Ovis aries: one gene and its partners. The protein of the gene in region 1 interacts with the protein of each later gene in a biochemical or structural test. Links are inferred from orthologs where the notes say so. Each region holds a gene or a part of one and is shown in the gene's direction. Other genes may lie near its edges.

Evidence for each region.
Region 2: the proteins of STAM (region 1) and USP8 form a complex in vitro, tested with the Homo sapiens proteins (2 studies listed by BioGRID). The link is inferred for Ovis aries from reciprocal best matches to the Homo sapiens genes STAM and USP8.
Region 3: the proteins of STAM (region 1) and ARRB1 form a complex in vitro, tested with the Homo sapiens proteins (2 studies listed by BioGRID). The link is inferred for Ovis aries from reciprocal best matches to the Homo sapiens genes STAM and ARRB1.

The regions. Positions count from the first base shown.
Region 1 is NC_056066.1:31,499,148-31,503,368, forward strand, and holds the start of STAM (signal transducing adapter molecule 1), read left to right. Parts: upstream 1-1,363; 5' UTR 1,364-1,526; coding exon 1,527-1,566; intron 1,567-4,221. UniProt on the Homo sapiens protein: Involved in intracellular signal transduction mediated by cytokines and growth factors. Upon IL-2 and GM-CSL stimulation, it plays a role in signaling leading to DNA synthesis and MYC induction. May also play a role in T-cell development.
Region 2 is NC_056060.1:57,956,540-57,959,687, reverse strand, and holds the end of USP8 (ubiquitin carboxyl-terminal hydrolase 8), read left to right. Parts: intron 1-1,328; coding exon 1,329-1,461; intron 1,462-1,630; coding exon 1,631-1,816; 3' UTR 1,817-2,520; downstream 2,521-3,148. UniProt on the Homo sapiens protein: Hydrolase that can remove conjugated ubiquitin from proteins and therefore plays an important regulatory role at the level of protein turnover by preventing degradation. Converts both 'Lys-48' an 'Lys-63'-linked ubiquitin chains.
Region 3 is NC_056068.1:53,219,178-53,222,828, reverse strand, and holds part of ARRB1 (beta-arrestin-1), read left to right. Parts: intron 1-543; coding exon 544-740; intron 741-2,030; coding exon 2,031-2,090; intron 2,091-2,895; coding exon 2,896-2,963; intron 2,964-3,651. UniProt on the Homo sapiens protein: Functions in regulating agonist-mediated G-protein coupled receptor (GPCR) signaling by mediating both receptor desensitization and resensitization processes.

The DNA.
Region 1 (4,221 bases):
GAGACCGAGAAGGAAGTTATCTGTCTAATCCCTAATGTCCTGCATTTTTCTGGTTAACAGTGCTTTGATATTATAAGCAATATTGCCATAAATAACTTTGTTCATGTTGTTAAAGCAAGTCTTTAGGGTAAATTTCAAAAAGTTGTTGGGTCCAGAGGTATTCACAGTTTAAAACCTTGTGTTACACACTTTCAAATATTTCTACTGGGAGAGTAATTATTTCATTTAACAATGAGTGTACGATTCCCCACATCCCTGGTTCTTTTTCATCTTTGTCTGACAAAAACGTATCTAAACGCTACTTTAATCTGCATTTCTCACTTTTAAAAACGGGACCTCAAGATGGATTTTTTTCTAAGCACTCTTCGTCTATCACAACACTCATCTTGTTGACATGTTCTAAATATTTACATCCTGCAGTCAGCAGTTATGGTAAATTTTGGTAAATTTACATGCAAGATGCTCCAAGTTCCTCTTAAGTGGGATGCACAAATCTAGAAGATGCTCCTTAGAATTTCTACAGGATACAGAGAACAGTTTTTGTTATTGTTAAGAAAACTTATAAATAAAATTACTAAGTAGTTTAAGTTATTACTAACCACCGATCAAACTTTAGATCCATTTTTCAGCCCTTTTTTTTTTTTTTGCTCGGCTTTTTTGGGGGGAGGTTGTCTATCGCAGACCTTTTTGGTCAACTGCCAATCACTGTTAACAGCCTGCGGATCACACAGCTAGTAGCTGCCAACGCCCAGCCAGAAGAGGTTTCGACAGAGCTTCCAGGCAGGCCTTCGGGGACTCGCTGGAAGGTGCCAGCGCCGCCCCAGCCTCCGCGAGGAGCCGCGCGCCTGACACTCCCCTCTTCGGGATTCGGGCCAAGCCGCCCGCTCACATGACTTTACCAGAGGAAGCTTCCTGTCACCGCGGGCAGCGACCTGAACTCATAACCCCTTTTACTTAGATGAGGAAAGGAGTTTCCATCCTCCGCCCTAGGGACCACAAACTTGTGACCACCATCGGAGCACGGGGGAAAGAGGGTTTCTCTCTACCCAGACGCGACCCCGTTTCTTTCTGCTCAACCTCTGATTCACGCTTGAGCTCGTTAGTCGTCTTCGGCGCGCCTGGAGGACCCAGTCCTCCGGAGGCTTAGGACCAAGGCCAAGTCCGGAAAGGCAGGCATCCCTGCCACTGTTCCGTGGGGCCAGTCAAAGGGGGTCCGGGCGGAGGGGGCTCTGGGGTTGGGCCGGTTTCTGCGGGGCAAGTTCGGGGCAGGTTCTGGACAGGCGAAGCCCAGGGCACCCAGATTCCCGACAGGCTCCGCGTCCGGGGCCTTCGCGGCTCCTCCGCTCTTGCCGCCGCCGCCGCCGCTGCCGCGGTTGCTGCGGGTCGGGGAGAGCTGGGGTTGTCGCGGGCCCGGAGAGTCCGTCTCGGCCACTGTTTTTGCCCGAGGAGACTTCCTTCCTAGGTCGCACCCTGACTCCTGTGGTGTCGAGGGGGAGTCCCTGCGGACACCTCTGCACGCAGTGGAGATGCCTCTGTTTGCCACCAATCCCTTCGATCAGGATGTCGGTAAGTGCTTCTGCCGCCCCCTGTCCACCCCCTGGCGGACCGCGAGCCCGCTCGGCCCGCTCCCGGCGGACCGTCTGGACCCCCGGGCTGGGCGGAACCCTGCTTGTTTCCTGAGGCTCTTTCTGTAAGGGTTTGGAGGAGGTTGGGGGCTTGTCGCATCTTCTTGAAGACAAAAAAAGGGGGGAGACTGAGAGAGTCTGGGAAATAGGCCTGGAGCTAGGGCTGTGGGTTCCTAAAGAACTGGAAAGGTGGGTGTCGAAGGCCGCGGAGGAACAGCTGGTGTGGCATCTGGTGCTGGGACATTGCTCCTGGGAGGACAGAATCGAGAGCTAGGGAGTCCCAGCTGGCGTAGGATGATAAGCTGTGTGATAAAGGGTTTCTCAGGCACATGTCAAACGTTGGGAACTGGGATAATGTTTTAGGTTAGCTTCCTTAGAGGACTTTAAAATCTGTTTTATAACTGTGCGAGGGAGAGGAAGGAGAGAGCTTTGGTTAAGGGTAGACTCTTAAAGATACTGGGAGAGAGATGAAGATGGAATACTTGACAACAATATAAACACGCTTGAGGACCTGAGTCGCTGGGATGCCTTCCTAGTGTAGGTCTCAGTACTTTTAAGTGTAGAATAGGACCTGGGATCTGAAAATGCTAATTTGTTCTGAATTTGAAATACTCTTTTTTTGTGATTGTTTTGTGAATCACAGGTTTTAAGTACTGATCATATCAATTCAACAGGTTAGCTGTGTGTGTGTGTGTTTTCCTGGGCTGAGGGTAATAATGACAGGAGTTTGAGTTTTCCCTGAGAGAATTTTGGGGTGATTTGAATACACTTAGTAACTACCTTGGCGCACAGGTGTGAAATGAAAGCAGGTTAAATACCATGTCTAATTGTTATAGTCAAGAAAAATAAGGATGATCTTATGGAATTGCTATTTCTGTGTTTACATAGTTAATTATGAAAGGTTTGAATTTGCTTTTTAATTCCCAATTTATAGCCTGCCACTGAAGCTTGAGGGTTTAGGTTAAGATTAGAAAAGGTTTCAGTCCTGTCCCTGCCACTCCCTAGCTCAGAGGGAAATCATGGGCAGGTTACTTAAGTTCTTTGAGTCTTGGTGTCCTCATCTTTAAAGAGAGGGAAAATACATCCTGTTTGTGGTTCAGTGAAATAACATGTATCTCCTGCAGTGCCTTTAGATAGTAGGCATCAACTCAATGATAACTTTTTTGGGACATTTTAAATGAATGTCCTGCATCTTAGCAGTGGATGGAGCTTTAGAGGTCACTAGGAGTATTTAATAAATAAATAATTGGGAAGTAACATTTAACTTAATGAGTACTTAGCACACACTGTTTATAGGACACTGCTCAGTGACGTAAGATAGTGATGAATAAGAGACGTGGTCGCTGCTCTCGAGCAGTTTTATAACTTACTACATTAATTTCCAGGGCAAATGGTTAAAGCAGTTTCTTAATACCTGCTCCTTCTGTTTCCATCACCTTGATCTAGTTTTCATGGTTGTATGTAACCGAGCTTCCACCTACCCAGTCATCTTTATATCCCATTGCCCTTTGAACCCGCATTTCCATTGGATTCTTAATGTCAAATCCTTTCCCAGTACCTGCACCACCCCATTCAGACACAGGCTCCATCTTGCTTTTACACTTTTGCTTGTATTGTTTCTTCTACCTTTCTGCACCTCCTAATGATTAAAGGCCAACTCAGCATCCAGCTCATACCTGAATCATATCCTGATTACCCTAACCTGGAGTTTCCATAGGTGACACTACAAATGGTTTGGACCAGGTAAATGTCTTTGTCATGGGTATCTGTCCTTTTCAATGTAGGGTGTTTAGTAGCATCCCTGACCTCTCCCCACCCAACCCACAGCTATGATTTAAAACATCTCCAGACACAGCTAAATGTCCCCTGAGGGCACAAAATAGTTTCCAGTAGAGAAACATTGTTCTATCCCACTGTTGCCACTCTTTTCAGACCTCCTGCAATACTTTTTGTCTTTACTAAATTATTTCGTATTAAAGGTAGTCGTATCTTGCGTTATGCTCCTTAACTCTTACTTGTTGCTACAGAGGAGATGCATAATTAAAGTTTGTTGAATTGAGAATGTATCAGTTGAACTTGCTAGGGTAAGCTTCTTGAGTACAGGAGCATTGTTTTGTTCCAGAAAAGCTTACTTTTTTGCTTGCTTGTTTGTTTTTGGTTGCTCTGGCTGGTGACTGGCAGAGTCTTAATTCTCTGTCAAACCTGTGCCTTTGGCAGTGGAAGCAGAATTCTAACCACTGGACCACCAGGGAAGTCCCAGAAAATTATACCTTTGAAAAGCTAGGTTTTAATGTTTGCATCAATTCTTTCCCCATGATCCATGTATCAAAATATCATGAAAGGTTATCTAAGAAGACTTGCCAGAGACTCCCAGTAAATCATCCTTGGACAGAGTCCAGTAGACTCCCATTTAAAATACTTTTGCTAGAATAGCATGCAGAATATAGTATGTATAATACATATAACTATTTCTTCTCACTTTATCCATCAGTGAGCATATCAGTGATATACTCTCACTAACTCACTTGATATATTTATCACTTAACATTAGCATATATTTTTACCACTTCAAAATTAATTGTCGTTAGCTTTAGTC
Region 2 (3,148 bases), on another chromosome or scaffold:
CAGGAGGGATAGATTGGGAGTTTGAGATTGACAAACACTGCTGTATTTAAAACAGATAACCAACCTACTGTATAGCACAGGGACCGCTGTTCAGCATTCTATGATAATCTAAATGGGAGAAGAATTTGAAAAAGAATAGATAGAAGTATAACTGAATCACTTTGCTGTACACCTGAAACTAACACAACACTGTTAATCAATGATACTCCAATATAAAATAAAAAGTTTTTATAAATCAGTGAAACAAAATTATTTTCAAATTATTGGAGATTCTTAGGCAGTTATTTATGTTAATTTCAACACTGATATATTCAAATCTCTTGTGTAGATTTTCTACAAAAGCTTATTAGATCAGTTGTCCTTTTCTGCTTATTGCAGATTGCAAAGGTATACACATTCTACAAATGATTACACATTTGTTCTGTTAAGATTATTAGTGCTGTGTATTATTCTTGGAGAATATCTTAAAGTATAAATGGTTCAGAGTTCACTCTTTAACAAATAATTTTGAAATAACCATATTACACCAACCAGTATTTTGGTGTTTAAAGAAGCAGTGTGTGTTAGGATAATGGAATGCCATTATTTTAGTCACTAGGCTGTGTGCATGCAGTTTCTGGCTCTACTTTCTTCAAGTTCAGTTCAGTTGCTCAGTCGTGTCCAACTCTTTGCAACTCCATGAACCGCAGCATGCCAGGGCTCCCTGTCCATCACCAACTCCTGGAATTTACCCAAACTCATGTCCATTGAGTTGGTGATGCCATCCAACTATCTCATCCTCTGTCGTCCCCTTCTCCTCCTGCCCTCAATCTTTGCCAGCATCAGGGTCTTTTCAAATGAGTCAGCTCTTTGCATCAGGTGGCCAAAGTATTAGAGTTTCAGCTTCAACATCTGCCCATCCAGTGAACACCCAGAACTGATCTCATCTAGGACGGACTGGTTGGATCTCAAAGGACAAGCTTTAATCTGGAGCCACTCTTCTTCTGTTATTTCTCTGTACTTTGTGGTGATTAGCATTATAAACGGGGGTGTTAATAACTTCTTACCTTTGTCAAAGACTCACCTAATAGCTCTAGCTGGTCTAGGGATTAAGGGACCAAGGTATGGCTCTACCTCTACCACTCTGTTTACCTGGGGCAAGACATTTATGCACCTCAGTTTCATTAGACGAGTCCCTCCACTATTAAAATTCTGAGTGTGTGTTTGAAATAGCTTTTATGTCTAAACATAAAAACTGTCTAAAACTCTGGATTGTTGATGAATGAACTAGGGTGCATTTTGATGTCTTTGGTCTGTCAGTGTAACTGCTGTAATGTTTTGCTCTGCAGTTTTTCCTATGATGGCAGGTGGAAACAAAAATTACAGACATCTGTGGACTTTCCATTAGAAAATCTTGACTTGTCGCAGTATGTTATTGGCCCAAAGAACAATCTGAAGAAATACAACTTGTTTTCTGTTTCAGTAAGTATCTCATTGACCTAAATACTTTTTCTTTCGAAGCAAACTAAAAAAACAAGTTTCAGGTTGTTCCTTACCTCACAGGAAAGTAGGAACTACATTAAGGCTTTGAAATTATTGACATATTTTAAATAATTCAATTTGAATTGATTTTCTATCTTGTTTGGTACAGAATCACTACGGTGGGCTGGATGGTGGCCACTACACTGCCTATTGTAAAAATGCAGCAAGACAGCGGTGGTTTAAATTTGACGATCATGAGGTTTCTGATATTTCCATTTCTTCGGTGAAATCTTCAGCAGCTTATATCCTCTTTTATACGTCACTGGGACCACGAATAACTGATGTAGCCACATAAGGAGAAGTAGGTTTTAAGCTAGTTATCTTTTAACAGGCTGAGCAACACAACTCTTGAATTGCTTATAAAGATTCTGGATAGGCATAGCTGACCATTTAAAGGACTTGTAGGACAATGAGAGCTGTGTTACTATATCATATACTTCTGGTCAGCGCCATTATCAAAAAACTGACCAAGAACATTTAACAAGTATTGCAGTAAGCATTCCTTACAGGTACCATTTATTTCAAAACAAGTTTTTTAGTTTGCTCCAAAGTTAAAATAATTAACTAGCTAAGCATTATTATTCTGCTGGTCTAAAAATCATTGTATCCTTTATTTTCCTATTCACTGTTATGGCCTTTTCACATTTCTAAATCCCAGCTTGATCTAATGAATACTCTAGAATGATGTAAAGCAGATAGGAATGTATGTGTATATATTTATTGCACACTTGCACATCAAATCAATGTACATAGTATAATATGTGGTCCTTTTGTGAAGCCTAGAACTCAGAGGATTGCTCCCCCCCGTCCCCTTTTGGCCTATTCTGAGTAACTGCAGTGCTTTCTTAGGGACATGACAGGGCAAAGCTATTTTTCTGTTGGCTTTGGGCTGTATTTGTGCACTAAATCTTTATTCTAAAAAAATAAATGGAAACTTTTCTTTAATTTTTTAAATGAGAATTTTCATTTACACCTACATTAAAATCTTAATGAGAAAAATAATTTAAAACCCTGTAAGTGTTCTGTCTTTAATTTTACACTGTTGAACAGGACAGCAGAATTATAATTTTTCCACACAGTTTATCCCAATACAGTGACTTAAAATTTAGTACACTTATTCTGTTGCATTACTTGATTCCACTCTTCCTTCACCTTGACCATGAACTGCATATAGCACTTATGATTCTCTCAAGAGTTGAAAGTCAAAGTAGGATATAAAACCTTAACACCCAGGCAGACTTATTCTATCACGAGTAGTAGAATTCTTAGGATTAAGGTAAAAAGATGACAGCAAAGTGAACTGCATTATACACCACATCTTTACAAATTAATGTATTAAAAGGGATAGAGGAGCATAGAATTTATCATTTACCTCAGGGACTCGGTTGTTACAGGTAAAGTCAATATAAACACTCCATATAAAAACAAGATTATAAAGGTGCTCCTGAAAGATGTCACCATTAGTGGATTCCCAAGAAGAGGATGAAAGAAAATCGGTTTGAATTGTGAAATGGACGACTTTTCATGTTCTGCAATTAGTCTGAGTGACTTATAGCTTCTTGGCTAAATTATCAGATCAATTAATATTTTCAAATCACAGAGCCACTTGAACAAAAGTTATTTTGGT
Region 3 (3,651 bases), on another chromosome or scaffold:
GGAGACCCTTTCCATGTCTGAGCCCTTTTACATCAGCCCATCGTGACTGTTGCAAGGCTTGGGGATGCAAACGGAGCAGGAGGCAGGGTCTTATTGTACAGAAGAGAAGACTTATTCCTGAGGCAGTCAAGGGGTTGTCTAAGGTCAGCAGGAAGACGGGAGATGGGGGTTGGGTGGAACAAGACACTGGGCCTTCCAGACACCACCTAGCACTGGTTTCCCTGCCCTCTAATCTTCCCCAGCGTGCTTCTTCCAGGCCCCCATTGACCCTGTCAGGCCCTCTGCACACACGCCGTGGACTGCAGTGGGGATAGAGAAGGAAGGAACCCATCCAGCAGTCAGCCCTCGCCTCCTCCCTGGGCCAGGCACCTGACACCCTTGTCCCAAGGGCAGCACTGCCCTCCCTGCAGGAGCTCTGGGACAGATGTGTGCCTCCGAGAGACTGGCAAGGGAGCCAGTTCCCAGGCTGCAGCTGGCACTCTGGGTGGGGGGCATGTTTGCTACCCTTCTTGGCCCCTCCTCAGCACCCCCTTGCTCCCACAGTCTATGTGACGCTGACCTGCGCCTTCCGCTACGGCCGGGAGGACCTGGATGTCCTGGGCTTGACCTTTCGCAAGGACCTGTTTGTGGCCAACGTGCAGTCTTTCCCGCCGGCCCCGGAGGACAAGAAGCCCCTGACCCGGCTGCAGGAGCGCCTCATCAAGAAGCTGGGCGAGCATGCCTACCCTTTCACCTTTGAGGTCAGGGACTGCCAGCCCCTGGGGCCCCATTCCAGAAGCATCACCTCTAGCAAGCCCTCTGGGCAGGCACACGGGGGCAGCTGGGGCAGCAGCTCCAGGCCATGCAGTCTCCCCAGTGTACCCTGGGGCCAGGGCACTGGCACTTATGCTGCCTGGTAAGTGTCTCTTCTCTGGCCGCTGCCAGAGGTGTCACCCTTACCTCTGCACTGCTACCCAGACCCTCCCAAGTCCAGGTCATCAGTGGGAGAAGGAGGGGTCGAGGGGGATGCTGCAGAGAAAGAAGTCCTTTCTGGCCCCCGGGTCACTGCAAGGCTGTCTCCTCCTTCATACTGGCTGCCCACTAACCCTGCTTCAACCCAACTCCCAAACAAGAACGGCAAGTACTGGATTTCCCTGCGCAGCCGCCTTTCCACTCCAGGATTCTGGATTTTCAGACCTCCTGTTTCTCAGACTCTGATTCTGTGATTCAGTGAAATCCCCTGACTGTGCAAGTCAGAGGAGAGAGGATAAGGAGCCATCCTCTCTGTTATAGACATATGATGGCTGCTGTAATGAACCCTTGCAAACCTAGCAGTAATTAAACCTGCCAATTAGAATACAAATGTGTTATTTTACAGTTCTGAAGGTCGGAAGTCAAAAACAGCTTTCATGGGCTAAAATCAAGTGTCAGCAGGGCTGCATTCTCTCTGGAGCTCTGGGATAGAAACTGCTTCCTTGCCTTTTCCTGCTGCTAGAAACTGCTCACATTCTTTGGCCCCTGACCCAGCCCTTTTCCATCTTCAAAGCCAGCAATGGCCGGTCCAGTCTTTCTCGAATCCCATCACTGTGATGCTGCTTTCGCTGCTAAAACACTGTGATTATGGTGGGCCCACCTGGCTAATCCAGGGTAATCTCCCCATCTCAGGATGCTTCACCAAATTACACTGTAAGACCCTTTTGCCCTTTTAGGTAACATTATCACAGGTTTTGGAGATTAGAATGTGAACATCTTCAGGGGGCCATTATTCTACCTACAACAGTGCACATCGTAGAAAGACCTTTTCAGCTCTTGTTCTGGGGGGGCTGCGATGCACTGAAATCCTTGGCTTTATTGCAGGGGCCTCTAGTGTAACATGAGGCATAGCTTAGCATGTTCTGATGGGGTAAACATGGTCTGTCCTGTGAATTGCCTAGTCTGATGGAAGGGACGTGGTCAGTCCTTAGGGGCCCAGGTCTGATGAATGTGTGTGGGGGTGGGAGGCATGGGGAGGTCAGCGGTGAATGTGACAGGTGTCTCTGTCCTCTTAACAGATCCCTCCGAACCTCCCATGCTCTGTGACGTTGCAGCCGGGACCTGAAGATACAGGGAAGGTGGGTCATCCCCGAGGGAGCATCTCTCTGGGTTCAGGACACTGTGTCCCCAGGTCCCCAGCTCTCTCTCTGTCTGGAGGGTGCTGGAATGCTCCCTATAGAAGCCTCCTTGTGTGTAAGCTAGGCTGATCCCACCTCAGATAAGCAGTCTTTTCAGACAGGGCGGCACATAATGGCATCACCCTCATCCCCTACACTCAGTTATGTGCCCAGGGCCTCTCCCAAGTCACTCTCGCTGGCCTCGGTGTTGGCTGCAGAATGTTCTCTGGCAAACCGTCCGGCCTCACAAACCCTGTGTGGAGGTGCAGTCATCACTGTCTCACAGGTGGGGAAACTGAGGCTCGGACATAGGTGACCCCACGAGTGTTCCAGGCCTCGGAGCTCGGAGCCTGTTTCCTCATCTGTGAAATGGATGTGGTGGGATGTACCTCATCATCTGGTCCAAAGGGTAGGGCAAGATGCTGAAGGGGTGCCCAGGGCAGGGTCTATATGGTTGGGGGTGGGGGTGGTCCTATATAGGGCTGCTGAAAGCTTGTTGTTATTTCTGGGCAACTGCCTTATTGAGGACAGTGCCCCCCAGACAGCCAGGACTCTGGAGCCCAGCTGGTCAGGGAGCTGCTCTGTGGGAGGGTCAGATGAGGGAGGCAGCTCCGCACAGGCTGAGTGCAGGGCTCCTACTCAGACGAGGGCATCAGGCCTGGGGACCTGATATTCGCATCCAGCGGCCTTCTTAAATGAGAGGGTGGGTAGGCCATGCTCAGTGGAGCCGGCCCTCTCCACTGAGGTCAGCGACCCTCCCCTGCAGGCCTGCGGTGTGGACTACGAAGTGAAAGCCTTCTGTGCGGAGAACCTGGAGGAGAAGATCCACAAGCGGTGAGGAGGGTGCAGCTTCTATCCGTGTGGGTGCGGGCTGCCTGCTGGCAGAGGGAGGGAGACAGGACAGGCACGGTTCAGTTGGAGGAAGACAGAAGTAACAATGCCTGGAAGTGGGAGAGGAGGGGCCTTGCATTCCAGCCTTGGAAACTCCAAGGGCACTGGGGAAGGCTGGCAGGTGGGGAGGGCTTCCTGGGGGAGGTGGCTCCATTACCCTGACTCAGGCCTCAGCACTTTTTCCTTTGCATCACTGTACCCGCTTCCCTTATCGCCCTGCTTCTAATCTCTTCCTCTCCAGACTGCATGTCCTTTAATTTTGTTTTGGAAAAAAATCTGAAATTCAGATTGTTTTAAACAGTGAGCAAGATGTTTCCCGGCCAGCTTGGACCCCCATTTCCCAGTTCTCCTGGGAGGTCATCAGCAGGAGGTTGTGGGGGTGGGGTAAGGGGTGTCAATGGAAGGGAAGGGAAGGGAAGTGGAGAAAGTGAACCCACCCAGGGCAGACAGAGGAGGTCTGCCATGTCTCAAAGAGGGAAGCATTTTCCTGGAGAGACACAGCCCTGGGCAGACAGACAGACCAGGCTAGCAGCCAGAAATAGCTGGCCCTGATTTATAGGGTGAGCTGCCCAACCCTGCTCTCATACCTGCCCCTCTCGGGGTCGGGTTTTTGCTTTGCCTCCTGGCAAGG